Linked DNA regions of Ovis aries. The protein of the gene in region 1 interacts with the protein of each later gene in a pairwise test. Links are inferred from orthologs where the notes say so. Each region holds a gene or a part of one and is shown on either strand. Other genes may lie near its edges.

Evidence for each region.
Region 2: the proteins of TK1 (region 1) and SETDB1 interact in a two-hybrid assay, tested with the Homo sapiens proteins (2 studies listed by BioGRID and IntAct). The link is inferred for Ovis aries from reciprocal best matches to the Homo sapiens genes TK1 and SETDB1.

The regions. Positions count from the first base shown.
Region 1 is NC_056064.1:53,314,149-53,329,248, forward strand, and holds the end of TK1 (thymidine kinase, cytosolic), read left to right. Parts: coding exon 1-80; intron 81-2,551; exon of another isoform or gene 2,552-2,623; intron 2,624-7,114; coding exon 7,115-7,204; intron 7,205-7,498; coding exon 7,499-7,618; intron 7,619-7,799; coding exon 7,800-8,003; 3' UTR 8,004-8,739; downstream 8,740-15,100. Other genes in the region: SYNGR2 (synaptogyrin-2), read right to left, coding at 10,424-10,779, 11,348-11,585, 13,420-13,518. UniProt on the Homo sapiens protein: Cell-cycle-regulated enzyme of importance in nucleotide metabolism. Catalyzes the first enzymatic step in the salvage pathway converting thymidine into thymidine monophosphate.
Region 2 is NC_056054.1:100,895,919-100,910,935, forward strand, and holds part of SETDB1 (histone-lysine N-methyltransferase SETDB1), read left to right. Parts: intron 1-3,015; coding exon 3,016-3,050; intron 3,051-3,491; coding exon 3,492-3,591; intron 3,592-4,553; coding exon 4,554-4,679; intron 4,680-4,846; coding exon 4,847-5,048; intron 5,049-5,721; coding exon 5,722-5,795; intron 5,796-6,714; coding exon 6,715-6,905; intron 6,906-7,653; coding exon 7,654-7,783; intron 7,784-8,972; coding exon 8,973-9,120; intron 9,121-9,203; coding exon 9,204-9,362; intron 9,363-9,988; coding exon 9,989-10,612; intron 10,613-11,184; coding exon 11,185-11,301; intron 11,302-15,017. UniProt on the Homo sapiens protein: Histone methyltransferase that specifically trimethylates 'Lys-9' of histone H3. H3 'Lys-9' trimethylation represents a specific tag for epigenetic transcriptional repression by recruiting HP1 (CBX1, CBX3 and/or CBX5) proteins to methylated histones.

The DNA.
Region 1 (15,100 bases):
CCCTGCCAGCCTGTCTGCTCCGGGACGTGATCCAGGATGCCCAGGGCGTGGCTGTCATAGGCATCGACGAAGGGCAGTTTGTAAGTTGACTTGTCCTGACATTGCTCTTCCTATGAACCCCTTTTTCCTCTGCTTGTTTGGAGGTTATTGGTTCTATTTCTGATCTTTAAGTAGGTAAATATTGTTAAGTTAATTTGCTTTAACTAGTATCTGAAAACACTTTGAATTTCCCTTACTGCTTTCTGTATTACTGAGTTGTTTTCTTTTTTTTTAAACATTTATTTATTTGGCTGCTTGGGTCTCATTCAGTCTTCATTGCAGCATGAGGGATCTAGCTTCCTGACCAGAGATCAAACCTGGGCCCCCTTCATTGGGAGCACAGACTTTTAGCCACTGGACCACCAGGAAAGTCCCTCTGTTACCGTTCATGGAACTTATTATACCTTAAAAAAAAAAATTACGATGAACAAAAAAATTTGATTTCTCAATACCAGAAAGAAGGGTTTGGTTTGGTTTGGCTCAATGATGCTTCTTGCCTTTTTTTTTTTTTTTACTATTTATTTATTCATTTGACAGCACCACGTCTTAGTTGCGGCGTGTGGGATCTAGTTTCCTGACCAAGGACTGAGCCCGGGCCTCCTGCATTGGGAGCATAGAGTCTTACCCGCTGGACCACTGGGGAAGGGTCCCTCTTGCTTGTTCTTTATGGGTTTATTTTTCCTCCTACAGAAATACATCCTTTAGTAGTTCTTACAGCCAGGCTGTGTCGGTGGGAAGCTCTCCGTCTTGATGTGAAAATGGCTTTGTTTAGTTTTCTAGTTTTAGCAGGGTGGCACGTGCCCAGTGTTTCCCCTTATTGCTTTGGAAAAGCAGCAGCCCTGCGCCTTAGAGCTCAGGAGAAGGCTTCTCTGATCCCTTTCCTGGGCCGGGAGCCTGTCTGTTCTTTCTCAGAACAGTGTGGTCCAGAGAGGTCTTGTTTGTATTTATCCTGCTTTATACTGGGTGTGGCTTACTTAACAATCTACTCTTGAGTTTTTCGTTTGTTTTTGCTTTATTGGAGTACAGTTGATTTACAGTGTATTAGTTTCAAGTGTCCAGCAAAGTGAATCAGTTATATGTGTACATACATCCACTCTTTTTTATTGACTCTTTTTCCATATAGGCCATTACAGAATATTGAGTAGAGTTCCCCGAGCTATGCAGTAGGTCCTTGCTAGTTATCTGTTTTATATATATAGTGTGTATATGTCAATCCCAATCCCCTAATTTATCCTCGCCCACCTCATGAGTGATATCATTTGGTATCTGTCTTTCTCTGGCTCCAGGTCCATTCACGTCGCTGCGAGTGGCATTATTTTGTTCTTTTTTAATGGCTGGGTAATACTCCATTGTATATACGTACCACATTTTCTTTAGCCATTCATCTGTTGATGGACATTTGGATGCTTTTGTTTGAGAATCAAGAATCAATTCTGTAACTTCCGTTTGTCTTTCTGGAAACCTCTTTTTAAAGTTGTTTCCAGCTCACTCTGCATCCAAGTCATTAGGAGTGTGTTCTCTGGCTGAGCTTGTGGGTTGTCTCTTGTGATCTTAGTTTCTCTCCAGCGTTTTTGCAGTGTTTTATTTCTTCAAGTGTGTCTTGAATGGATGAAACTAAAACTCCCGAGGGAGTTTACTTCAACCCCCACATCCACCCATTACGTTAGGTAACGTGAGCGCCTATGACAAATGTATATCAAGTCATCAGTGGTGGGATGGCCTGCCAGTGAGGCTCCTGTCTTCACACGTGACTTCCAAGATCAGTCCGGTAGCTGCATGCTGACAGTAGAGAGGAGACAACCCGGAGGTCCCAAGAACCTAGTGGGTCCCTGGGTGGTTTCCATGTGCTGGGGTCCACATGCGTGCCTTGCCTCTGCTGCCTCCTCACCTCTGGAGTTTTGGCATATGGTTCCCTTATCTGTACCTTTGGTCCAGTGCTGTGCCCTGGAGGAAGAGGAAATAGAAAATTAAGGAAATACTTTTCTTTGTTAGGTGAGTGGTTAGCAATCTGCCTGCCCTGCCTTCCAGGTCCCAGGGCAGGGTGGAGCCAGTGGCTTGGGCTGTAATGTCCTATAGGGATGTCTCAGGCTCTGTTATGGTGATCACAGCTCCATGCTTTCCTCCCACCTGAGACTGGGGATCCTCTATCCCCACCCTGGGTGTATCTTTCGGTGTGTGCCTTCTGGAGATGGACTACCAGCTGCCCGGACCTGCTCCGGGAGCCAGGCTGCATCCGTCTATTCACCCACCTTGTTGTGACCACTCCATCTCTGACCTCAAAGATGGTCAGCTTGCTTCTGAACACAGCTGTGTCTTAGCTGGCCTCTTCATGCACACACACACGTACACTTCTGTTATCATTTGTGGCTTCATGGTGGAGGGACTTGGGGTAAGAGGGGCTTCAGGGTGAGAACAGGGCTGCAGCTCTTCCCTTTCTCTTCTAGACTCTGATCTCCAGAAGGCTCTGGGGAGCCTGGGTCGATTTTGGGGGGTGGCTCTCAGAACAAAAGCTTCCCTGGTGGCTCAGAGGTTAAAGCGTCTGCCTGGAATGCAGGAGACCCAGGTTCGATCCCTGGGTAGGGAAGATCCCCTGGAGAAGGAAATGGCAACCGACTCCAGTACTCTTGCCTGGAGAATCCCATGGAGGGAGGAGCCTGGTAGGCTACAGTCCATGGGGTCACAAAGAGTCGGACATGACTGAGCAACTTCACTTTCTTTCACTTTCTTTCTTTCTCAGAACAAGGAATGTGAGCTTTGGGGAGGCTCTCCCGTCCTTCAGGCCCAGTGTGTGCCTGCTTACCACTCTGCTCCCTAGCTGTAAGTAAAGTGTCTTTTCAGGGCTGAGCTGGACACCCTGGCAGGGACCTTCCTCTCCTGACACCTCCTTGGTTGAGAGCCAAGTGCCCTGGTTTGGAGCTGGTGGGCCACCGGACCCCCAGTTCTGTTCCCTGTTTCTATGGCTGCTTCCTCTGGCCAGTGAGTCACAGCTGAGTTTCCATCACAAGTATTTATTAAACGCCCTATAGAAACATCGCCAGTCTTCTGTTCTATCCTCACCCCTGTGGGTCTTGCTTAGCAAGAAGTCTGGAGGCTGTCTCTCAACGTGGGACCCGACAAAAGGACTGCCCTTCCCTTCTTTCATCCTTCCTGTGCAGACGGGTTGTCGGGGAGGGGTGTGTCTGAAGTCCCCAAGCTATCAGCTGAGGGTACAGTGATAGGTGGGGAGCTGGCTCCTGGGCACGCCAGCCTCGCGGTGTCACTGAGTGCCGGTCTTATCTCTATTTTACCACAAGTAGGAAGGGGGGTCATCTAGGAAAAGTCAGGAAGGGCTATACCTAAGAAGAAAGTCCATAATTGACTACTAACGTCTTCTGTCCAGAGACTACCAGGAATAGCCCCAGAACTGAACAACTGGGGATTGTAGTTGCAGGGAGAAACTGGCATGAGAACTGGGGGGATGTGGGTGAGGGCTTGGTTATTAGGAAATGGGGGCGGCGTTGGGTCATTCCTGGGAGGGTTTTGGAGGCCGGTTTGGCTCTTGATTTGGTGTCCTAGGAAGGGTGATGATTCTGACCAGCATCTTAAATGTCACCTGTAGGGAGGGTGGACCAGGAGGCCGAAGCAGCAGGGGTCACTCCTTTAGCCAGGAGGGGGGGACATTTGGTACCCCATAGCCTAAGTGATGCTTACGTTCTATCCGCGCTCAGACATGGTTAGGGAGGGGTCTGGTTTGTTTGTTTTGACCATGCCACACAACGTGTGGGATCTTAGTTCCTGGACTAGGGATTGAACCTGGGTCTATGGGAGTGAGAGCTCTGAATCCTAACCACTGGACCCCCAGGGAATTCCCTAGAAGGGGTCTGGTTTTGTCCTGTGTGACTGGGCCAGAAGCTCATGAAACTAACTCTATGAAATCAGTTGTATGAAATTCTGTTCAGCACAGCAACCCCAAGGCCCACTGTGAGTGCAGGCAGCTCCTGCTGCTGGCCTGCCCTTCTCTTTCGCTGCCCAGAAAAACAAAACAAAAATCACAGAACATCTTGGTCTGGATCCTTCTAGTCTCTGTACGTATATATCTATTTATAGATCGGGTTCATATCACGTGTTGTGACCGTCTTTCCACATCAACAGACACCTATCCTTATGAATGTACCGTGTCTTGCATGACCCGGCCCCTTGGGTATGGCACTTAAAGGCTGTGATGCACATGTGAGTGGACATTGGGCTGTCATCTGGTGTACTGGGGTTTATTTGGTGTATTGGAATCACTGAAAAACAGAGGGGCTGGAAAGAAAGTGGGGTGAAGTTCCCAGGCAGGAGTGTGTTCCAGATCAGGGGCTTTGGCCTGGTCAGCCGGAAGGACTTCAGCATTCACCCTGGGAGAACCTGGAAGCCGCCCAGGACGGTCGTCTGCTGGAGGGGCATGGATGGACTGCAGGAGCGGGGCGGGGACTGCTGGGTCTCTGCAGACATCCCCCGTGGAGGGCCGGGGGCGGGGGCTGCACACACATATTCTGCTCTGACTGCCTTTCTCTTTTCTTTCTGGGTGGCTGACATTTTCCCTGTATTTCTCCTTTTGTAAAGAGCCTCCTCGTGGTTTGTCTTTCCTCTAGGTCATGTGATATAACCAGCGCCACTTTGTCACATGCTGTAAATAATTCTTCCTGGTTTATTTGCCTCTGGATTTGTCTGGGCGTCTCATTTAGTCTTTACCATTCGTGGTGGAGCGGCTGGATCCTTCACTGTCACATCCTTTGCCCTGTCCCCTCTTGTGGCCTCTGCAATCTTCAACGCCAGCCAGGCTGCTAGGAAGCGAGGTCTCCGCCTGGGCAGGGCTGGGGTGCTTCCTTCGAGCGTCACGAGGCTGCCACCTCTGGGCAACATGACGACAAGGGCGAATCTCCTTCCTGGCTGCCTGACCTCCGCTTCCGCCGCTTTCGGTCCTACCCGCCCCCATCATACCTCGTTCAGGAAGCGGCTCTCGGCAGGTCAGCCCTGGTGCTGGGCCGGCAGATGAACCACATGGGCAGGCTTGTCAGTGTCAAGAAACCCCACCTGTTGCTTCTTTTCTCGCTGGATCCCCTGTGGTGATCATTTTTGTCTCCCAAGAAAACTCTGCATTTGCTAGGTCCTCTGAAGTCCTGCTTTAAATGTAGCCTGTATTGGGGTCTCTGGCTGCTCTAATGTGCACTGCAGACCAGGCAGTTTAAACCACAGACATTCATTTCCTACAGCTCTGGAGGCTGGGAGCCCAAGATCAAGGTGTGGGCAGGGCAAGTTCCCCTGAGGCCGCGAGGGAGAGTCTGTCCCAGCCGGTCCCCTCGGCGTGCAGGTGGCCATCTGCTCCCTGCCTCTTCACATTCGTCTTCTCTGTCTGTCCCTGGGTCCAAGTTTCCCCTTTTCGCGAGGACACTATTCCTACTGGAGTGAGGCCCACCCTACACGCCTACTTTAACTGGATGACCTCTGCAAAAAGGTCACATTCTGAGGTATTGGGGGTCAGGGTTTCAGCATAACAATTAGGGGTGGGTGGGAGGGTTCACAAGTCAACCCATAATATAACCTAAAAAAATGAGTGGCGATAGAAACAAATGTCAGTAAGGTGGTTGGTTACCAGTGGGCCTTCTGCGATGTTGCAGACAACGTGGGCAGCTCTGACTGTACCTTGGATCATTCAGGAACCCCTGCTGGGCAGCTCTGACTGTACCTCGATCATTCAGGAACCCCTGCTGCAGGCCCTGGGTTCAGTGTTTGGGCAGAGAGTGGGGTGGCATGTGAACAGGGCGCAAAGTTCAGGTGGAAGAACTGAGCTCTCTGACCGCGGGCATCACTGTAGCAGGCAGGGTGGAGGACCCCTCGCGGTCCCCAAACCCTGGTGTGGAGGGACCATGTCTGGACAGGGAAGGTAAGATGAAGAAGGTGCTCCTCCCAGGGTGGTTCTGCTCTCAACCTTCCCCGTGGATTTCTGGCAGTGTCTAGAAACAGTTTTGTTTGTGACAATGGGGGTCGGGTCGGGGCACTGGCCGACAGGTCCTTACAGGCTAGCGGCTGCATTTCTGTGACCTGTGACAAGTCCTTTAGAGAAAAGGAGGGGCCTCACCTAGAGCCAGGCTGGAGCCTAGGGGTGGGAGGTGCCATTTCCATAGTGCAGGCTCGGCAGACCCTGCAAACCCTGCAAACCCTGCAGAGGCCAGTCAGATCTGGCTTTGGTGAATCCTGCTGGAACTGGTTTGGGTTCTCTAAGCCCTGTCCTGGTCCTTGTCTGGGTGAGCCCTCGGGTTTTGTAACTACGCATCTCCACGAGTAGCTTGGAGAGAGACCCTTTGCCCAAACACTGGAACTCCCCACTTCATCCAACCCACAGACCAGATAGATGATTGACCAGTGAAAGGTCACCAAAGGATTTGTTTAAGTAGTGGCCCCTTGGGCCACTTGAAATGAAATTTGATTTACCAAGTAAGGACTTCCCACGGGTGGTGTGTTGAGCCATCCTGCTCTGTAAGTGGCCAGTGGAACTCCTGCCCCTTCTCCAGGCATCACACGGCACATTATGTTTAAAAGAAGAAAAAAATAAAAGCAAACACACAGAGCCTGCCTCTCAGCCAGATAGCATATGTAATAAATTATTTGCGTGTCCTTAATCCTTAAACATCGCCAGGGGCCTTCCTTGCCTTTTCCTGGGCTCAGGAACATGAAGTCATTGCCAGGGTCACAGCTAATGGGTCCAACGGAGAACCTGGTTCAAGCCTGAGGCAGCGGATCCAAGCTTTGGTCCACTGCAGTGGCAGACGGCCTCTCCACCTGGGTTGCATCACCCTGGTGGCAGTTCCAGGCGCCTAGCCTGGAGCGCAGCCTGGCTCTGCTGTGGAAAGTTGGTGCGATGGGGGAGTGAGTCGGGAAGCTGTGGATGTGCAGGCCGTGTACCAGATGGGAGGGCTGGCGCGGCCTTGTTCTCAGCTCCACGTGGATGCAGGTAGCTGTAGCTCCTGGGCCTGGCAGCGTGTCTGCAGCTCCTGGAAGGGGCTGCCCAGGGCGGAAGCTCACTCCCTCCTCCGCCTCTCACCCTTTCCTCTAGTTCCCTGACATTGTGGAGTTCTGCGAGAACATGGCCAACTCAGGGAAGACCGTCATCGTGGCTGCACTGGATGGGACCTTTCAGAGGAAGGTGAAGTGTCTGGTCCAGGTCTTGGGGTGGGACCGGGGACAGAGGCCCAGGCAGCGCACAGAAATGGACAGCCCAGGGCGCCCTTGATGCCCACACCATGCCTAAGCCCAGGCACTCAGGCCAGCCAGTCCCAGCTCCCTGGGGTGCCCCTGACTCCACCTGCCTAGGGCAGGTGCTCTGGGGAAAGGCAAGGTCCAGGCTTAGTTTCCTGGCTTCAGGGGTGTGAGTCAGGGTCTCCAGGAAAAGCCCACCCGGCGAAATGAGTGTGCACTCCTCTTTCTGTGGATTGTACAGGCTTTTGGGACCATCCTGAACCTGGTGCCCCTGGCAGAGAGCGTGGTCAAGCTGACGGCGGTGTGCATGGAGTGCTTCCGAGAGGCCGCCTACACCAAGAGGCTGGGCGTGGAAAAGGAGGTAGCTGCCCCCTGCCTTCTCCAAGGGATGGGCGGGTGGGGGGCAGGGAGGGGCGCCTACACCTAGAGGCTGGGTATGGAGAAGGAAGTAGCCGCCCCCTGCCTTCTCCCAGAGGCGAGGGGTGGGGCGCTGCGCCCCAGCCCCGCTCAGTCCAGGCGCTTCCTGTCGCACCGCACGTCAGGTCGAGGTCATTGGAGGAGCAGACAAGTACCACTCTGTGTGCCGCCTGTGCTACTTCAAGAAGCCCTCGGGTCAGCCCGCCGTGCTGGACAGCGAAGAAAATAAGGAGAACTGCCCGATGACACTGGGAAAGCCCGCGGAGGCCGCGGGAGTCCGGAAGCTGTTTGCCACTCATCAGATCCGGCAGTGCAGCCAGGCCAACTGAGGCACTGGCCCCTCGCTGGGGCGGGCGCTCACCCGCCACCTGCTCCCCCCACTCGCCCGCTGTCGCCCCCTGGCGGATGCCGGGCCTTCTTGGAGGAGGAAGTGGCGGGGGGCGGGGTTGGGGCGGGTAGAGGTTTCACCACCAGCAGTTGGCCTGCTGCTGCGCCCTTTCCCAGGCCAAGGAGGCGGCTGGTGGTCTGCACTGCACACTTCCCTCCTTGCCTGCCCACCAGCTTTTCTCAGTTCCCATCCCGGCTGCGGGGCGGCTGCGGGGCGATCGCAGTCTCCCCAAGCCGGAGCTGGCCGCCCTATGGGGCGGGGTCTGGCCGCTGCAGCCATCCCTCTTGGGGTGAGGCCAAGCCGCAAGCTGCTGTGACATCGGCGTCGCCGGCTTCTTCCCCGTTTGTGGCGTTTGCTGTTGAGTTTCTGTTCTCACTGGGAAGTCCATATCCCAGCACCTCTGGCTCAGCGTGGGCCTCTTCCCACGCAAAGACTTGGTCCCTCTGCCTGGGATGGGCTCCTGGCTGCCCCTGGGGATGGCTGGACTTCTTATTTCCTTTGGGGCTGAAAGCCCTTCCTGATCTGGCGATCATTTTCTCCGGAATTACAGCTTCTCCCATGTGGGTGACACTCACCCTGCTCTGGGGCTCAGCTCCCAGGGGCTTGTTTTCTAAGGAGGTGGGGGCTGTGTGTATGTGGAACTGATAACTAATATTAAAATCTATTGGTTGGTAAAAGCCTATTTCTCTTTTAACTGTCTGGGATTCCCCGGGTCTCACTATAGACACCTCTGACATGATTCAGGTATGGGGATTTCCTTTCAAATCTTTTTCTAGTACTCCTGACCCCTTAACCACAAATCTTTTTAACTGAGATATGAGCATCAAGTGTTCTAACAGGCATGTTTGCCTGCTCTTCTGCCTGGGAGGGTTTCAGGTCAAGATGAGTGGATGCAGGAGCCTGGGGCTTGGTTGGAAAGATGAAGCCTTGGTCTGTGCTGCCAGCTGGGGCTGTGAGGTCAGGTTTTATTTTGTGAAACAGACACTTGACAGTTCAGGAGCCAGGAAGACCAGCTCTGCCGTGCCTTGGGAAACGGGCTGTGGACAGCTTATGGGAAGGTGAGGGTGCTCCAGGGTGGGGTGGGCCTGGGCTGTGTGTTCCAGATGGGGCCCCAGTTCCCCACCCTTACCCCAGCTTCTCCCTCTCACTGGCTTGTGGCAGGTTACAGAGGTGCAGTACCACGGTCAGACCATAATCCCCAAACCCTATTAATTTTTACTTGGGGTCTTGAAACTATTGGGGTCCACTTTTGACAGCTCCCTCTCACTGCTCGAAAGGGGAAGCCCAGAGTTGCCTCGTGGGCCCTGGCCTCCTGCCTGAGGGGAGCTCGTTCCCTGGCGTGGGCTGGGCAGTTAGGTCGGCTCCCCAAGGGTCTGAGATGGGCTGCAGGGGTTCTGAGTCCTGTCTACAGGAAGCAGAGGACCCTTGCCCCTCCAGGGGCATGCCAGGACCCTGGCAAGGCGGCCCAGGAAAGCTGTGTTGTTTACAAGCTGAGCACAGTTGCTATTTTAAGATGCTGATGGAGGGCAGCGTGAGGCATGAGACCCCAGGCGGGGTGGGGGTGGGGGGAGTTGCTGGGCTGTGGAGGGGCAGGTTGCCACAACTTAGGTTCCAGAAGGCCTCAGTTGCAGCTTGCACCTTGCACCTCGGTGGAACTGGGAGAGGCCCCACTAATGACAATGGAGACTATGAATGAGAAAACCATTTATTCCATCTCCAGAATTAGTCTAACAGAATCCCAGGGTGCTGTGCGTCCTTCCCCCAAGGCTTTGTAATATACATTCAGAGCAGTCTTGGGGCTGTGGGTGCGTCCGGTACCTCCTGACAGACCTGGGATATTTACATAAAGCTGGGTGTTGTCAGGCAAAGCCCCTCCCTGTGGCCACAGGGCGGGATCAGAGACAGGGTCCCCCGGGGTGGGCACCAGCCCTGCCCCTCGGCTGCCAGGAAGGTGACCCAGAGGCACTGGCACAGAGTGTGACCACAGGTCCAAGCGAGCACACACTTCAGCAGTGAGCACAGCCAGCCGCCCACAGAGCAGGCAGGGGGCTGGGGCGGAACAAACCTGAGTGAGGAGGGAAGGAGCCCCGGCCCAGTGCCCACAGCAGGAGAGAGAAGGCCCCGCAGCCTCGTCTTTGGCAGAGAACCCGAAATGGCTGCCGCCACCGGTGCCTGGACATAGGCCCGGCTCCCGGGCTGGGGAGAGGCTAAGGCACTTGTCGAAAGAGCATGTCGGGCGCCTGGAGCTATTCCCGGTGGGGATGCCGGTCATTAAAAGCAACAAAATGTGTCTAGCTAAAAACCCTTTCCTAAAAAATGCCCTCGAGGAGTGGTGGGTAAAGCCCTTGGGGCACAGGCACTTCAGGGCTCTCTCTCCAGGCCCTGTGTCAGTTCGGACAGGCGCCAGGTGCATAGAGAGGGGCCAGAGGCTCTAGGAGCCAAGCCCTGGGGGAGGAGCCGGGGAGGAGGGGAGGCCCCCCAGGCACTCTCCTCCCTCCCCAAACTGTCCTGGCTGCAGCTCAGTACACAGGGGGCGGCTGGTAGCCCTCGGTGCTCTCGGCATTCTGGGTGAAGGGCGGCTGCTGGTAGGTGTCCGCAGGCATGCCTGGGTAGGAGGCGTAGGCCGTGCTTGGGTCCGGAGTGGGGTCCACGTAGTTCTGGATGAATTCGTCCACTCCAGCCTTGTAGCGCTGGTAGGCCAGGAAGGCCAGCAGGCCCTGCAGGGAGCCCCGAGGTTTGGGTTCCTCAGCCCTGCACCACCCTTCACCAGAGACACCAGGACCCTGGGTCCACTTACCCAGGAGAAGATGGAGAAGAAGCTGAAGGTGATGGCCGCCCGGGCTGAGTCGGCTCCTACAAGCACATCGTTCACCTTGGTGGCCGCCCACTGATTGGTGAGGAAGCAGAAGCCAACGAACCACAGGAAGGTCCAGAGAGCTGGGGCGAAGGCCGGGAGGGGAGGGTTAGCTCCACAGAGGGGCAGGAGGACAGGGGCCCCCTGGGAGCGAGAAGCCTCCAGGGGTGTAGAAGTGTGCTGATTCAGAAGCTGGGCTGGGGACAGGACGCTATCTCTGGGGCTCTGCTCCAAGCCCCACTCAGCTCCAGGGGATTTCAGCAGACGGTTAGAAATCCTTGTGTGCCAGCCTGACCGTGGGTGAGGTCAGGAAACCCGGGGCTGCTCCCACCCCTCCCCAGCCTGCAGTCACAGCCCCCTAGAGCTTCTGGGAACACTGCTGCTCCCGTTCACCCCAAGATCAAGTGGAGGTGCAGCCAGCTGGCCGATACCTGAGAAGAGCAGGTCACCAATGACCAGGTACTTGCGGTCAGTGGCATTGCTGATCTGGGGGAAGTAGATGTCGACCACGAAGAAGAAGGCTGAGGCCAGGAAGGCCAGCACCCCAATGGCGCTGCCGTAGCGGCACGCATCCTCGTTGCGGTTGAAGACGCAGTACTGCTGCTGGGAATCATGGGTGTTGCTGTAGCCCTCGCCGAAGATGCATGAGAACACGATCAAGGCGAAGACCTGAGGAGGAGGCAGGGGAAGGGCTGCGTGCATGCCACCCTCGTGGGCCACACCTCCAGGCAGCACAGGGAGCGGGACCCTGATGGGAGGGGACACTGGCCTCCCCGCTCCTGCTGTTCCCCTGCTGGAGGTCGGTGACCCAGCCTTTCCTGAACTTGGGGATCGAGTCCCCTCCCCACTCCCTTCTCCAGACATCTGTTATAAGGGGCATGGATTCCTGGACTGAGGACAGTGGGGAGTGCAGGGGGATCTCCTGGGAGGGCACTGCCCACCCCGCTGTCTGCCTGGGGGATGGCTCTGCCTGACCACTCCCACTTGTGAGTTTTAAGCAGGATGGCTCACAAAGTCAGAGTAACCCAAGCTTGGAGTCTCACCCCCTGATCACCACCTGCCTGAGTCACCTCTCCAGCGCCCAGCCTCTGCCTGAACACCCAGTGATGGAGAACTCCTCCCACTTCAGGAAAACCATGCCTCTGAACTGAAACTGTGTCCCCAGACTGCCAACTCCCACAGCCCCCTCCAACTCTTCCCTGCTCCAGGCTGGGCTCCCCAGTTTGACCAGTTTTCCTCCTACAAAGAATTCTGGGCTCTTTGGCATCCTGGCCCCTGGCCTCCCAGGGAATCCCTGTTGGCTTCTGCCCATAGCTGGTCCTACCCACACAGGCACCTCAGGTGGGTCTGCCCAGCAGGCTTGTGGACATAGCTCTGTACTCAGACCCTGGAGGCACTGGGGTAGGGGGTCAAGAGGGTGCAGCACCCACAACTCTGGGAGGGGCTCCAGGCCCTTGGGAACAGCCTCACATCACCTGTCTCCACCCCAAACTGAAAGGCTACCGCCCAACCCCGCCGTATGTGAGTCTGGACACCTGGCTCCCTCTGGGACTAGCCCAGACCTCTCCCCCGCCTGCCCTGCCTGTCTGCACAAGGCCCTCTCAATAGGCTCCGGAGCTGGCAGTCACAAGCCCCACCCCCAGCTGGAGATGAAGCCGGAACTCTGGATGCTGGGAGCAGTGTGCCAGCCTGACTCCTGGCACTGCCATCCCGAAACATGGGCATCTGCTCCTGGGGTCAGACCCCCCGGGTCAGGCAGAGTGCGGATGAGGGTGTCACCAGGGCAACTCACAGGGCTCCAGCCCAGGCAGGTGCGGGTGGCTACCTTAGGCCCAGTCCTCTCCCTGTGGGCTCCCTAACACCTTGTCCAGCTTTGAGCTCTGGTTGTCCAAGTGCAGGGGACCTCCCACCAAGCCCCTGCCCCAGTAACCTGGTGCTGGAGCGGCTCACCCAGCTCAGGGGAAGGGGCACAGACTACGGTCACTTGACCTTGGGTGGGGAAGCAGACCCATGGGCTTCTTTTGAGTGGAGGACAGGCTCTGTTTCAGGGAGGCCAAGCCTTCCCCCGAAACCCCCTGCACCCCACGTGGCTTCGGAAAGCCCCCCTCCGGATGAATTCCCCCAGGCTGGGAGTCGCGGCATGCTGGCCACCTGTCCTGGAGCCGCCTCAAACTCCTCCCACTGCCAGCAGGGCGATGGGCCTGCTCCCGGCGGCGCCTCCCGGGCCACCCGGTGCCCGGGCCCGGAGGTGGGGGTGGCAGGGCCCGGGGTGGGGGGCGGCAGGGATCGGAGTAGGGGGGCCGGCGGGGCCCCGGGGTGCGGGTGGTGGTGAGCGGCTGCAGGGTCCCGGGCCCCGCTCGCCCGCCCCGCGCGCGCCGTTCCCACCCCCGGGCCTCGGCCGCTGCCACCTGTCGCGCTCTCAGGCGCGCGGAGGCCCCCTCGCCCTCGCCGCCCCCGGCCTGACGACGAAGTAGGGTCCCCGCGGCCCCGCACCCCGGCTCACCAAGCACACGGCGCGCACCAACACCTGCGGCTGCGTCACGAAGCGTCGCAGGTCAAAGGAGCCGCCCGCCCTGGGCGCGCCGTACGCCCCGCTCTCCATGTTGCCGTCGCCGCCGCCGCCGCCGCCGCCACCGCCGCCGCGGACCGCCGAGGAGCCAGGCGGCCTCCCCGCCCCCGACTCGACTCCTCCCCGGGGGGCGTGGCCAGAGCCGCCCCAGGGACCGAGGGCAAAGTGCCGCCCAAGGCGAGCGGCGGTGCCGAGGGGGCCGCGGGGCCCCGACGGCCTGGCCTGGCTTGGCCTGGCCTGCGCTGCCAGCGACCGAAATCAGTCCAGCGGCCGCCGGCTCATTGTCCAGCCCATGTCTCGGCCGGGTTCTCGTCCCTCTGCGATGCTGGCCCGCAGAGCTGCTGGAAAGGGTTCAGAGAGTCCCTGGGAAGAGAGGGTCGCAAGGAGGGCTCGCCCCTCTGCTCCAGCCACTCTTTGCCCTTGCATCCCCGCCTCCTCCTTCAGGAATCTCCGCTAGACGTCCGTCTGGGTCCCACCTGTCCACGACCCAGGCTCCTATGCACCCTCTTTCTTCTCCCCTGTTCTACCCCGGCCCCGGGGCCACAGTCTGGACCCCTCCCCGCCTGGTCACTCTTTCCTCCTCTCTGGAGCTAAGCCTGCGAGGGGGTCGAGACCACAGTTCAGTTCAGGTGCTTAGTCGCGTCCGACTCTTTGCGACCCCATGAACCGCGGCACACCAGGCCTCCCTATCCATCACCAACTCCCGGAGTTTACTCAAACTCATATCCATTGAGTCAGTGATGCCATCCAACCATCTCATCCTCTGTTGTCCCCTTCTCCTCTTGCCTTCAATCTTTCCCAGCATCAGGGTCTTTCCAAATGAGTCAGTTCTTCGCATCACGTGGCCAAAGTACTGGCGTTTCAGTTTCAACATCAGTCCTTCCAATGAATATTCAGGACTGATTTCCTTTAGGATGGACTGGTTGGATCTCCTGGCAGTCCAAAAGACTCTCAGGAGTCTTCTCCAACACCACGGCCCCTCCCAATCTTCCCGGACCCAGCCCAGCCCGGAGGCTTTGTAGGGAGGGCTTTGTGTGGGCCGACTTCCAGGCCCCAAGCTGCTGTGCGGACAGAAAGGAAGTTCCCAGGGTGACAGGCAGGGGGCAGAGTTTAATCCAGTTCTTTCCGGAAATGGCTCAGAGCCTCCAAACTGGAATGACTGGTGAGTGGGTGGGGAGTGGGGGTTGAGTTTGGGGGTTGGGGGCTAGTTCTCCAGGGGCCTCAGGCTGACTCGTCAGGGAGGAGTTCCAGCCATCCTGGTTGCAGGTAAGGCTTAATGAGGGGGTACTGGCCAGGTGGGGCCCGGAGTCTTCCAGGTGAGCTGGACAGAGGTGGGAGGTGGGGCCAGATGCCATCAGGAGATGGGGCGCCACTCCAGGGAGGAGGAGGGGGGGAGGCAGTGGTCCTGAGTGTGTTGGTGCCTCTGGGCCTTCACATTCCACCCCACCCTCTTCCCAGACCTGGATGGAGGGTGACAAGCAGCTGAGGCAGGGGCTCACTGAGCCCCCTCCTCCTAGAACCTCCCTTCCCCCGCCACCGCCCCCATCCCATCCTAAAACCCTCAAACTAGCACCATGTATGTTTGATGAGGAACCCCAGGGCTGCAAGATCCAGG
Region 2 (15,017 bases), on another chromosome or scaffold:
TTAATAATTTTCATAGTATTTAAATCTCCCATACAAAGATCATGTATTTAGTCCTTAACATTTTTCACTGAGGTTGATTCATTTTCTCCACAGAAAGCTTGCACTAACTTTTTTTAAAAACTACATTTCTAAATAGTTTTGCTAGTATTTAGACATGTGGTTGACTTTTGCATATAGATTTTTTTATCTGATGATCTCACTAAATTTTTATTTCATTTTTGGTCATTTACATTGCTTTCCATTTATTTATTTTTGCCACGTTTCCCTCCAAGTTTTATTGAGATATAGTTGATAATATGGTATTTAAGGTATAAGACTGATTTGATATATATGTTTATTGCAAAATGATTATCACCATTGCCTTCCATTTTTAAATGTTATAAATCTCTAAAACTTCACTATACAATACAGTAGCCACCATCCACATGTGGCTATTTAAATTATGTGAAATGTGAGGATTCCTGGTGGTCCCGTGTTTAGGATGCTGAGTTTTCACAGTGGAAAACCTGGGTTCAATCCCTGGTCAGGGAACTAAGATCCTGCAAACCACATGGCAGGGCCAAAAATTTTTAAATTATGTGAAATGTGAAGTCTAGTATTTCCCAGGATGTATGAGTAACTCTTAAAACTTAAGAATAAAAAGACAAATAGCCATTTAAAAATAGGCGAAATATTTGAATAGATACTTCTCCAAAGATGTGTAAATGACTAATAAGTATATGAAAAGATGTTTAACATCATTAGCTATTAAGGAAATGCAAGTCAAAACTACTTATTAGGATAGCTGTAAGAAAAAAGATAGTAATATAAGTTTTGGTAAGGATGTGGAGAAATTGGAACCCTCTAAAATTGCTGGTGAGAATGCAAAATGGTACAGCCACTTTGGACAAGTCTTTGAATTCACCAAAAGGTTAAACATTGAGTTACTTTATGGCCTGGCAGTTCTACTCCTAGCCATAATCCAAGAGAAATGACAACATATGCCCACATAAAAACTCATATAGGGACTTCCTGGTGGTCTAGCAGTTAAGAATCCTCCTGCAAATGAAAGGGACATGGGTTTGATCCCTAGTCCAGGAACTAAGATCCCACATGCCTTAGGGCAACCAAGCCTGTGTGCTGCACCCTGCTGAGCCTGCAACTACTGAAGCCTAAGCACCCTAGAGTCAGTGTTCCGCAACAAAAGAAGCCACCGCTATGAGAAGCCCATACACCACCACAGCTAGAGAGTAGTGCCCGCCCACTGCAGCTAGACAAGGAGAAAGCATGTGCATCACAATTAAAACCCAGCACAGCCAGAAATAGTTTTTAAATTATTTTTGGGAACTCATATACAAATGTGCCTATCAACGTTATTCATAACAGCCAAAAAGTGTAAATAACCCAAATGTCCATCAACTGATGAGTGGATAAATAAAATATAGTATAGCCATACAATGGAGTATTAATCATAAAAATGAAGTGCTAATAATGCTGCAACATTGATGAATCTCATGTGATGTACCACATATGATTCCACTTATGTGAAGTATGCAGAAAAGGCAAACCATAGAGACAGATAGTAGATTAGTAGTTGCTGGAGGTTGCAGGTGTGGTGGAATGGGGAATGACTGTTAATAGAAACCCCATACTTAGTGGGATTTCTTTTCAGGGTGATGAAAATGTTCTAGAATTAGATACTGGTGATGGTTGTACAACCTTGTGAATACACTAAAAACCACTGAATTAAACATTTTGAAGGGGTAAATTTGTTACGTAAATTACATCTGATTTTTTAAATTTTTTAGTCAAATTTAAAGGCTTCCATCAGAGAAGGCAGTGGCACCCCACTCCAGTACTCTTGCCTGGAAAATCCCATGGATGGAGGGGCCTGGTGGGCTGTGGTCCATGGGGTCGCTAAGGGTCAAACAACTGAGCAACTTCACTTTCAGTTTTCACTTTCATGCATTGGAGAAGGAAATGGCAACCCATTCCAGTGTTCTTGCCTGGAGAATCCCAGGGACGGGGGAGCCTGGTAGGTTGCCATCTATGGGGTCACACAGAGTCGGACACGACTGAAGAGACTTAGCAGCAGCAGCAGCAGCAGCAAAGGCTTCCATGATAGCTCAGTTGGTAAAGAATCTGCCTGCAATGCAAGAGACCATGGTTTGATTCCTGGATCGGGAAAATCCACTGGAAAAGGGATAGGCTACCCATTCCAGTATTCTTGGACTTCCCTTGTGGCTTAGCTGGTAAAGAGTCCACCTGCAATGCGGGAGACCTGGGTTCAATCCCTGGGTTGGCAAGATCCACTGAAGAAGGGAAAGGCTACCCCTTCAGTATTCTGGCCTAGAGAATTCAGTCCATGGGGTCACAAAGAGTTGGACATGACTGAGCAACTTTTACTTTACTTCGCTTCAGTAAAATTTAAAACTCATTTCGTGTGCTTAGTCGCTGAATTGTAACAGATTGGCCAGTGCAGAAACAGAATATGTCTATCATAGCAGGAATCGAACCATGGTCTCCTGCATTACAGGCAGATTCTTTACCAACTGAGCTATTACGGAAGCCTTTAAATTTGACTCAAAAATATAAAAAATCAGATGGTAATTTACATAACAAATTTACCCTTTTAAAATGTATAATTCAGTGGTTTTTAGTGTATTCACAAGGTTGTACAACCATCACCATTATCTATTGGACAGCACTACTCAAGAAACATTTTAACTTAATTCACTGGGCACATTTCATTTTTCAAATCATTCAGATGACCCATAAAAAAATTATTGTTATAAAAATTCAAGTATTTGAAAATCCCAGATCCCATAGACTGTCACCTGTACCAGTACTTTATCCCCAGGTAAGAATTGTTATCTGTTTGCTGTTTTATCTTTCTGAATGCTTTTCGTACTTTTACATAGATAGGTGTATCTGTAACTAGTTTATAGTTGTTATCAAGTGTTCCCATGATAGTTTGGTTCTTGATTTCTTGGAAATTCTTATGTATAAGTCTTTCACTCAATTTTTCTCATCTAGGTGATGCTGGGAACAGAACTCCAAAAGACCAGAAGGTAACTTGAAATGAGTAAGAGAAGGATGAGAGAGAAGAATATGAAGATAGAAGAAACTTTTGGCCTAACCGTTAAGTCAGTTCAGTCATCAAGATATAACCAGTCACCCTGAAGTCAGCCCCATGGGTTGCAGTTCTCTAATGAATGTTATAAGAATACAAAAGCTCCTTATAGATACATGCACTGAATGCTGTATGAATATAGAATTTGGCAGTGATAAGCTAGATTAATTAATCAAGGAAAGCTTCCTAAAGCTGATTTCTGAACCAGATTTGTAAGAAAGGGCAAGTTTTGCCTGATAGAGTAACTATAAGCTTCTAGAAGTAACTGTAAGCTTCTAAACATAACTCAGTCTGTTTCATTTTTTAAAAGACAAGTTGTTATTCTCAAGAAGCGGTGCTACTATTTTAAAACTTGTTTCTTTTGTCCCCTTCCTCACAGCTCCGTGAAGCTATGGCTGCCTTAAGAAAATCGGCTCAAGATGTCCAGAAGTTCATGGATGCTGTCAACAAGAAGAGTAGTTCCCAGGATCTTCACAAAGGTTAGAGTCAGGAGACATCTTGGTATAGGTGCAGGGGTGAAGTCCTACAGAGATTTCATGGATACTGTGTTTTAATGTTTCAGTGTCTTTCTCTACCTCTGTAGGATTCTTTTAATACCACTTGCTGTTTGCTTAAGTCTTTTTTTTTTTTGGCTGTATCACTCAGCTTGTGGGATCTTAGTACCCTGACCAGGGATCGAACCCAGGCCCACAGCACTGAAAGTGCGGAGTCCTAACCACTGGACCACTGGGGAAGTCTCTTGGCTTAAGTCGTTTGTCTGATGGCTTTCTACCATGTGATGGCTTTGTCCAAATAACTTTTTAGCTCCGTGCTCATGATATCTTCTTTCAGATGAAGGTTAAAGAAAACAGTAACTCAAACTGTAAAAAAGAGGTCTGAAGGAAGCTTTCTTTGTAGAATGCAGCTATTAAGAGATCCCTCCCAGGAAAATGATTTATAAAAGCTGTGCTGTGCTTAGTTGCTCAGTTGTGCCAGACTCTTTGCGATCCCATGGACTGTAGCCCGCCAGGTTCCTCTGTCCATGGGGATTCTTCAGGCAAGAATACTGGAGTGGGTTGCCATGCCCTCCTCCAGGGATCTTCCCAACCCAGGTATTAAACCCAGGTCTCCTGCATTGCAGGTGGATTCTTTATGGTCTGAGCCACCATGCTGCTTGGCATTTAATGAGTAATAGTTAATGTTGTTAATAAGGAGTCAGAAATATTTGGTTACAGTGAGATGGTCTTGAGTTACATGTGAATTTCAATTCATATTTTTCCTGTTAGCATAAAGAGCTGAGTCCACTGTGTCTTATATATCTGCCCTTGGCCAAGGGAGCAGGAAAATTGGTTAAGGATCAGTGATTACCCCATTTGTCCCAATAACCCAGTACCCTCTTTATTTTCCATTCTTTCCCCAATCTGTGCCATATCTCTTTAGAGCAACTTTGCTTTCTTCCTAGGAACCTTGAGCCAGATGCCTGGAGAACTGAGCAAAGATGGTGACTTGGTCGTCAGCATGCGCATCCTCGGCAAAAAAAGAACTAAGACGTGGCACAAAGGCACCCTTATTGCCATCCAGACGGTTGGTATGTTCAGGCTAGAGGGAGGGCTAATGCAAGAGCCTGCAGGCCACCATCACTGATCGTGTCTTTTCCCCAGAGCCTTTGGCTTTTGTCTCTCACATAGCAATCAGGATCCACACAGAAACTGATGGTTTCTAAAAATTTTTGTTTCTCTTTTCCGTTTGACTCAGGGTCAGGAAAGAAGTACAAGGTGAAATTTGACAACAAAGGAAAGAGTCTTCTGTCAGGAAACCACATTGCCTACGATTACCACCCTCCTGCTGACAAGTTGTATGTGGGCAGTCGAGTAGTGGCCAAATACAAAGATGGGAATCAGGTCTGGCTCTATGCTGGCATTGTAGCTGAGACACCAAACGTCAAAAACAAGCTCAGGTACCTAGACAGAAATTGTAAGGAGAGTGGAAGCCAGGAGCAGGTCATCTGCCCTGTTTAAGCCATAGTGCAGATCTCACAATTGGCTCTGATGTTCTTAGTCCTCAGTGGCTGGAAACTCCCTCTTTCCTTTGCCACAGAGTCATGTGGGTGGTTCTTTCTTGCTCCCTTCCCCCCTTTTTTTCCCTTTTCTCAAAGAGAAAATTTGGTCAGGGGAGAATAATCCAGATTGATTAATGGTTAGGGGAACAGAGAATTCATACAGAAGGAAGAAATGGAGACTAAATGTTTTTCAACAATGTGAGAGTCCAATAGTATAACAAGAATAAATCACTTTTGGGAAAGTGGGGATATGTTGGTTAGATTAAGAGAGAATTCTAATATTCTTTTCCATTGTGATTTATTACAGGATATTGAATATAGTTCCCTGTGCTATACAGTGGGACCTTATTGTTTATCCAGTCTATATATAATAGTTTGCATCTGCTAACCTAAGGGAGAATTCTTAACTCTTGGGGTGGAAAGAAAGAATAGTAGAAAGAAAACAGTACACTGGAACATGTTCCCTGGATTGTGTCTTGTTTGTGATCCAGAGGAATGGAAGCTATAATAATTTCTGGTCATGTTAAATATAGTAACCCCCAGTCTTTCTACCATCACTCTTTCCTTACAGGTTTCTCATCTTCTTTGATGATGGCTATGCTTCCTATGTTACACAGTCTGAACTATATCCCATTTGCCGGCCACGTGAGTGTCCCTCCTTTTTTCCTTAGCTCTTTTTGTTTCCTCTTCTACCTTCTATTTCTTAAGACAACCAATGGAAAAGCCCTAATGTTCTTGGTGTTTTAGTTTCAAAGAGCATAAGTTTGATTCATATTTTTTGAGAGATACAGTTTTATTTGCTCGTGCCTAGTGTTAGGTCTTGGCAGCCATAGAGTCAGACATTAGAAGATCATGACTGATTTTGAGTGGATGCACGTATTGTAGATGTGTTTTAGTTTCATTTCTGAGTGATTTAAGTTTGACAAGATGTTACTTCTCTCCTAGTCTCATGTTTAACATTTGTGTAAATCTGTAGTCTGTGCATTGCTTTCAGAGTGCTTTCTACAGAACCTGTATTAGATGGGGTCTTCATAGTTTCCCCTATACTTGTGATTCTGGCTTAGGAGAGACTCTTATAGAAGCAACTGTTTTTAGTTGCAGGAAGGTCAAGTGAAATGGCTGTTTCCACATAACATGGCAGTGAATACACTCAGGGTCCTTTGAAAGCCTGATGGAGCATGAGAAGGAAGGACAGGATTTTTTAAAATCAGTTTATGGTGCCTCCTGATTCTTTTTGATTTACCTTTAGGCTTATCAAGTAAGCAAGAATTTCCACTTGACTTTTCCTAAGAGGAAACATCCATTTCTAGGAAATGAGTGACTCACCTATGTTTACATACTGCTGATTCAATTAGTATTTGCAGAATTTGAGTGTGCATTTGCACCTTAGGTTCAGTACTTTTAAGTGGTCATGGTTTTGCTTCCCTTGAGGTTATGATTTCTTCATTTATTTTTTCTCTCCTTCCCAACTTGAAAAATGCCAAACATTTCCTTGTCAACCCTTTCCCCCTATCAAGACATGCCCTACCTGCCCTCTCTCAGCCCTCCTTCTTCCTTGGGACAGTGAAAAAGACTTGGGAGGACATAGAAGACATCTCCTGCCGAGACTTCATAGAAGAGTATATCACCGCTTACCCCAACCGCCCCATGGTGTTGCTCAAGAGTGGCCAGCTGATCAAGACTGAGTGGGAAGGCACGTGGTGGAAGTCCCGAGTCGAGGAGGTGGACGGCAGCCTAGTCAGGATCCTCTTTCTGGTACTCTTCTTAGGAGTCTTAGAGGCGGGGATTTGGGTGGGATGGGGGAGCATAGGATAACTATGGCATATGTAGCTATGCCATAGTTTTTCTTCTTTGTTACTCTCTTACCTATTCTCAGTTTTGGGTCATATTTTACTTTTTTTTCATTCCTCTATGCATGGTTATTAAAAATAAAGTCCCTGAATTTAAGACTCTAATCTGCACGATAGTGTTTTTGTTTTTGCTTTTCTCCAGGAGTATCCACAATGCATGTAGATACAGAGAAGGCTGCTAGTTCTGTTTTCCCAGGGTTATTGATAATATAATGGGACAAAAAAGAAGGATCAGTGAATTCTGAGGTGTTGATGATCTTTCAAGGCCCAGCTTAACTCTTAAATCTTCTCTACTTGTCCTTTTCTCCCCTCTCACACCTTTCTTAGAATTATATTTCTTCTCTGAGCTATCTCAGCCCTTTGATCCTAATGAACCTTGTTATATGTCTTATACTCAGTATAAACATCTATCTCTTGTCATTTTTTTAAACAAGAAATATGTGTTTTTGTTTTGGGGGGTTTTATTTTTGTTGTTTAATTCCTGATGCCTGTTGTGGAGCCTAGCACATAAATTTATTGAATAGATAGGGAATTGGGCGTTCATCAGGGAGATTTCCCCCAAGGGAGGCACATGGTATTCTTCACAAGTGGCAGGGTAGATTCTGGCCTTTAACCCATTCCCCTGCCGCCTTTCCTTACTTGCGATCCCCTAGGATGACAAAAGATGTGAATGGATCTATCGAGGCTCTACACGACTGGAGCCCATGTTCAGCATGAAGACATCATCCGCCTCTGCACTAGAGAAGAAGCAAGGGGGACAGCTTAGAACACGTCCAAATATGGGTAAGTCCTGAAAGCTATCTGGGAGAGGGAAAAAATGGACAAATCAGCAAAGAGGTATATGTACGATGGCTATATCCTTTGTTTACCAGGATGACGCTACTGCCACATTGAAAACAGGACATGTTCCTAAGTTTCCAGTAGTGGTGATGAATTTGTGTTGCTGCCTCAACATACTATGGCTCTGATTTGTTCTCAAAAACACATAAAAATCTGAAACAACTAGCTTAGGTTAGGGGTATTGTTGGTAGTAACTACCTCTGTTATTTACATGAGGATTATCTGCTTTGTGTGTGCTATCTGTGGTCTTTTTTTTTTTTTTTTTTTGGCTGCGGTGCTCTTCATTGCTCAAGGACTTTCTCTAGTTGCAGCTAGCAGGGGCTACTCATCATTTCAGTGTCCAGGCTTCTCATTACAGTGGCTTCTCTTGTTGCAAAGCATAGGCCCTAGAGCATGCGGGCTTAGTAGTTCTGGCTCCTAGGTATTAGAGCACAGGCTCAGTAATTGTGGCACACGGGTTTAGTTGCTCTGTGGCATATGGAATCTTCTCAGTTTAGGGATCGAACCCATATCCCCTGACTTCCAGTCTTAATTTTTATCCACCATGTGTGATTAACTTGTTTTAAAATTTTGGTTTTGTCTTTATATGTTCCTGGCATACGTTTTGGTTAATTTTTCTTGACAACATCAGTTGATCAGAGAATGTATTTTTGAAAATTTTTACCAGAGTATAACATAATTGGCTTCCCTGGCAGCTCAGTGGTAAAGGATCCATCTGCCAATGCAGGAGACACAGGTTCAATCCTTCAGTTGGGAAGATCCCCTGGAGGAGGAAATGGCAACCCACTCCAGTATTCTTGCCTGGGAAATCTCTCGGACAGAGGAGCCTGGTGGGCTACAGTCATAAGGTCACAAAGAGTCAGACATGACTTAGCAGTTAAATAACAACGACAGCAATAGAATAATTATTAATGTAAATTGTCCGAGGCAGGAAGATAAAATCTTACTATTTAAATGAAAGTCAGCCTGTGCCAATATTCCCACTCATTGGTATAAATAATGAGATCTAACAGTCTTAGCACTTAGAATATTTCCATTGTTGCTTTATTATATAAATTGAGAATCAAATCTGTGGATGAATATAAATGGCACAGCTCTTAGGTTCTCTATGGTCAATTTCCTTTTCTTACAGGTGCTGTGAGAAGCAAAGGTCCTGTGGTCCAGTACACTCAGGATCTAACAAGTACTGGAACCCAGTTCAAGCCTACGGAACCCCCACAGCCGACAGCCCCACCTGCCCCACCTGGTCCAGCTCTGTCCCCCCAGGCAGGTGACAGTGAGTGAGTGCTATTCCTTCTTTTTCAGCAGTTTCTTTTATATTACATTTTCTGTATCCCTTACTGTATGATCTCTAATCTCCTAGAAGCTTGGAAGGCCAGCTTGCCCAATCTCGGAAGCAGGTAGCCAAAAAAAGCACATCTTTCCGGCCAGGATCTGTGGGCTCTGGTCATTCCTCCCCTACATCCCCTGCACTCAGTGAAAATGCCCCTGGTGGGAAACCTGGGATCAATCAGACATATAGGTGAGAAAATCTCAGGCTCTCTGTTGGGAATGTTGGCAGTGTGGACTGAGTGGTCACTATATGGGGAGGTTCCTTGGCCACAAGGGGCCTCGTTAAGATTATGACGGTGAGAAGTTTGGACTTGAAAGCTTTAACCTTGGAATTTTCCAGGAAACAAAAAGTAAGAATAATTGAATTAGAAATTAGGTGCCTAGAAATACAATCACCAGAAAGTCATTTGTTAAGACTGCTTTTTGAACGTGGTGTCGTCATCGGTACCATAGAAAGGGAATTTGGTAGCCTCTTTCCTTGAATCCTGGGGGTCAGTACGGGCATTTATAGGAAACATAGCAGGGGAAACAACTAGCATGGATAGAAGACTGGATGCTAGTCCCACAATTCACAGGAAAAAATAAAATTCACAAAAAAGACACTGTTGAAACAGTTATTATCAGTTAATGAAGAGTAACCAGGGTGTTTCATTGTCCAGTAAGGCAAGAGGAAGTTTGACTTACTTGTGTCATCTTTAGCTTCAAGCGTATAGCTGTTTGACAGGTTAGAGAAGTGGTTTAGCCAGCTAATGGGCTACTTATACAGCATAGAGGTCCTGTTGCCTTCTGATCTGATCTCTTGCATCTCATTTTCAGGTCACCTTTAGGCTCCACAACCTCTGCCCCAGCTCCCCCAGCTCCCCCAGCACCCCCAGCCTTCCATGGCATGCTGGAGCGGGCCCCTGCAGAGCCCTCCTACCGTGCCCCCATGGAGAAGCTTTTCTACTTACCTCATGTCTGCAGCTATACTTGTCTGTCTCGAGTCAGACCTATGAGAAGTGAGCAGTATCGGGGCAAGAACCCTCTGTTAGTCCCACTACTCTATGACTTCCGGCGGATGACAGCCCGGCGCCGGGTCAACCGCAAGATGGGCTTCCATGTTATCTACAAGACACCCTGTGGCCTCTGCCTTCGGACAATGCAGGAGATCGAGCGTTACCTTTTTGAGACTGGCTGTGACTTCCTCTTCCTGGAGATGTTCTGTTTGGATCCGTATGTTCTTGTGGACCGAAAGTTTCAGCCCTATAAGCCTTTTTACTATATTTTGGACATCACCTATGGGAAGGAAGACGTTCCTCTATCCTGCGTTAACGAGATTGACACAACTCCCCCACCCCAGGTGGCCTACAGCAAGGAACGGATCCCGGGCAAGGGTGTTTTCATTAACACAGGCCCTGAGTTTCTTGTCGGCTGTGACTGCAAAGATGGGTGCCGGGACAAGTGAGTTGGTTAGGGAATTGTGGCCCTGCCTCCAACTTTGTTGTGGTTTCCTTTATTTCCACCACTTTCTTTGCCTTATACTGCACTTCTCCTTTCCTCACCTTCCTTGATCTGCTTTCTTAGCTGTAGCTCCTTCTGAAAGGCCTCCAGAGAGGCTGGGACCCCGCAGCATAATCCTGGGTACATGTTTAGATAACATTAGACTCATTGGACATAAACTTGAACATACTCCGAGAGATAGTGGAGGACAGGGTAGCCCAATATGCTGCAGTCCGTGGGATCACAAAGAGTCAGATACAACTTAGCAACTGAACAGCAACACATGTGTCTTACTTTTGTTTTTTTCTCTGATTCTCCTTTTCCTTTGCTTCCCTCCATCATGCATTCAGTTGCTAGTTGTGTCTCTTTATCTTACTTTGTCATATTCCTACTGTCTTTTCCTTTCTCATTTACACGTATGGGAGAAGAAAAAGAAATTTTACTACCCTGTCACCCTCCTTTTATCAGTAGTACTTCTTGCCTCTGAAGAAAGTCTCACAGCTCTAGTAGTTGAACCCTTCTGTTTTATACAGGTCCAAGTGTGCCTGCCATCAGCTAACTATCCAGGCTACAGCCTGCACCCCAGGAGGCCAAATCAACCCCAACTCTGGCTACCAATACAAGAGACTAGAAGAATGTCTGCCCACAGGGTAAGTAGTCAGGGGAAAGTTTAGCACCTCAGGGACTGAATTCTTGTTTGTCTGTGTTTGTAGGAAATAGCAGCATTATAAAATTGAAGCCAAAAACAAACCTTAAACAGACATTTAATCAATTAAATCTTACTTACCAAATTCCCAGCACATATTTCTTCCTTGGGCTTTCCTTGAAATGAATGCATATAATGATTGAATAGTATCTAGTAGTTTTCTGTTGCAGTAAAATATGACTTTGATTTCATAGCTGTATGATTATTCTAACAGATTGTGGTTTACTCTGGCAAGTGAGACATACTCAAAGAGGAGAAGTAGGCAGGGGCCTGATTTATAGGACTTTGTAAATCAGAATAAAAATTAGAACCAAATTCATGATGTGATAGGAAGCTATTAAGACTATTTTAAGCAGATAACCGATGTCTGCCTTTTAAAGATTACTCTAACTTCTCTGTGAAAAATAACCTTTAGGGCAGCAGCAGTAGACTTTGGAAGCTCAATTAGGTAATTTCAGGAACACAGGTGAGAAGTGGTGGTTGCTGGGGCTTGTCCTAGACTGAAAGTGGCAGTAGAAATGAGAAAGGATAGATACCACAAAAGAGAAATGAATTCACAGTGACTTCAGCCTTCTCAAAATAATGTTAGACACTAGATGGCAGTTGAGGAATCTATTCAAAATTCTAAGGAAAATGATTTTTAAAAAATAATTTTATGTGTTTATTTTTGGCTGTAGTGGGTCGCCCTTGCTGCGCAGACTTTTCTCCTGCTGTTGCAGGGGAAGAGCTGCTCTCTAGTTGCGGTGTATGGGCTTCTCATCGCCATGACTTCTCCTGTTTGCAGACACAAGCTCTGGGGCTCACAAGCTTCAGTAGTTGGCGGCACATGTGCTCGGGGGATGCACTTGGAGATAGAGCTACAGAACATGATAGATTGACTATGGAATGGGAGGGAGAAGAGAATCAAGGACAAGTCCTAAATTTTATACTTGAACAACTAGGTGTATGTTGGTTTTTGTACCAAAATGGAAGACTAGAGCTAGAGTTGCAGGTCGGAGTGAAATTCAGCTGTTCTGGCCACATTAAGTTTGAGGTGTCTGTTAGGCAACCCAGGTGGAAATGTCAAGAAGGCATTGAGATTTCTAGAGAGAACTGTAAGGACTGGCATAAAGAATTAGGAATCGTCAGCTCAGGAGTGGTAGTTACAACTTGGATGAGTTCATCTGGAAAGACCCAGAAGGTGCCCAGAAGTAAGTCCTGGGATCTGCAACTGGAAATTGGACAGAGGAGATAAAAACATGTGAGACTAAGAAGAGACATGAGATCAGCATGTGGGATTGAGAAGGACAGGTAAGGCAGAGAGAGGACTGAATAAAGTGGGATATAGTGTGGTAAGCTGGATATATATGAATATGTGACCTAATTAGCCTAGTATGTAAGAAATACATAATTAACAGAAAGGACAAAGAGGAAAGAATGATCAGTGAAATAATTCAGATGTTTCCCCATAATGAAAGGGTCTGTGTTTCCAAAGTGAAATCAAGTTCTAGCATAACAGATGAAAATAGATGCCCACTAAAGCACATGATAAAACGTGATCATTACATCCACAGAACACTGAGGACAAAAAGGAAATACTGAAACTTTCTACATAAGAGAAAGATACCACAAAAAGAATTCAGAGTAACTTCAGCCTTCTTAAAATAATGTCTATAGTTAGATGGCAATTAAGGAATCTATTCCCAATTCTAAGGAAAATTATTTATTTTATATATATATAATTTTTTTATTTTTGGCTGTGCTGCGTCTTCGTCACTGCACAGGCTTTTTGCTAGTTGTGACGAGGAGGGTGCTACTCGGGTTGCAGTGCACAGGCCTCTTGCCACGGTGGCCTCTCCTGTTGTCATAGCACAGTGTCCAGTGCGCGTGGCTCATAGTGGTTCCCGGGCTCTGGAGCACGGGTGCAGTAGCTGTGGTGCATGGGCTTAGCTGCTCTGTGGCATGCGAGATCTTCCCAGATCAGGGAGCAAACCTGTGTCTTTTGCTTTGGCTGGCAGATTCTTTACCACTCAGCCACCAGGGCAGCACAGGAAAATTATTCCTAACCTAGAGTTCTAAACCCAGGAAAGCTGTCAGTTGTGGGTTAAAGTAGGCTAACATTTTTTTAGACATGAAATAACCTCAAATTTTTCCTTTATTTCCCCTCAGAAAACTACTGGAAATGTTCTAAGTGAGGGGGAAAGACAAGAGAGAGGAAGGCACATACTGATCCGGGAAACAGTGGATCGAGCTCTAAAGAAGAGTGAGGGGAATCCCACATGATAGTGAAGTTAAGGGGGCTTCCAGGCTGACAGTTGTGCGCCAGATGTAGAGAACAGCCAGTGTGAGAGCAGGTCAGACTTGGCTGCAGGAGAAACTTTTGGGAAACGGGGTTTGATAGAAAGCCTGATGTGTCTGAGTATCATCAGAGGAAATCAGGACATAAATTTAAGCTGAATGCATATTGAAAACTGAGCAAAGGAAAACACCGCTATTAGCGTTAGCTACATTGTGTCATTGATGTTTTACTTGTAATAAAATTGAATCGTGTAACAATGTTTAGATTTGATAATGCTGTGAGTGTTCATTATAGCTTTTTTATAGGTTTGAAATGTTTCATAAAAGTATTTTCACATAACCACAAATATGTTCCTCCCCTACTTAAAACTCTTTAAGAGCTTTCCACTGCACTTTGGATTTTATTCTGACTCTTAATCTTGGATCACAAGACAGTGTACTGTCTGACCCCTTCCTATCTCTCTCCTTCCAAAACTGTTCCAGCCACACTGACACTCTTCAGTGCCTGGATCCAGTTCGCCCAGTGTTTGCCAGCCTACCTCGAGAGCCTTTGTACATACTGTGCCCTCTGCCTGGCATCCTTCCACTGTTGTTTGCATGCTTATCTTCTTTAACCTTGAGCTCTCTCTCAGCTTTGCTGTCATCTCCTCAGAGAGACCTTTCCTGGTCACTCTCAAACTAGGTCATTTTCACTCCTTTAATTATCTCATTCAGAGTTTGTCCTTTTATAGTATCTGTGACAACTTTCATTTTATTTGTTGACTTGTTTTTGGTCTCTTTTTCCATTAAGAGATAATCTCCATGAGGGCAGGAACCTTGTTTCTCTTGCTTACCGTTGTATCATGAGCAGATTTTTACCCAGTGCACAGCGTATACTAACCGCGTAAATTCTGTTGAGTGGATGAACGGTACTCTGTTTAGCTGTTCTGAAAGTTTCATGTGGTGATGATTAGTAGTTGTTGTTCAGTCACTCAGTTCTGTCTTGACTCTTCCGACCCTACGGACTGTATCATGGAGGCTCCTCTATCTCTGGGATTTCCTAGGCAAGAATACTTGGGTGGGTTGCCATGTCTTTCTCCAGGGCTCTTACCAACCCAGGGATTGAACCCACATCTCCTACATTGGCAGGTGAGTTCTTCACCACTGAGCCACCAGGGAAGCCCTTCGTGGTGATTACACCTGAATTCACATTCTGGACTTGTCCTTTCCAAACTGATCCTGTTTAGTTAACAGAGGATATGAACATTAATACCTTCCCAACCCCAGTAGAGTTTTTGAGACCTAACAAAGTTCTTTCTTGATGTGGTATTGGTTACATGGTGTGTGCAGTTTGTGAAAAATTGTTGAGCTATAGACTTTTACATATTCTTCTCTCTATGTGTA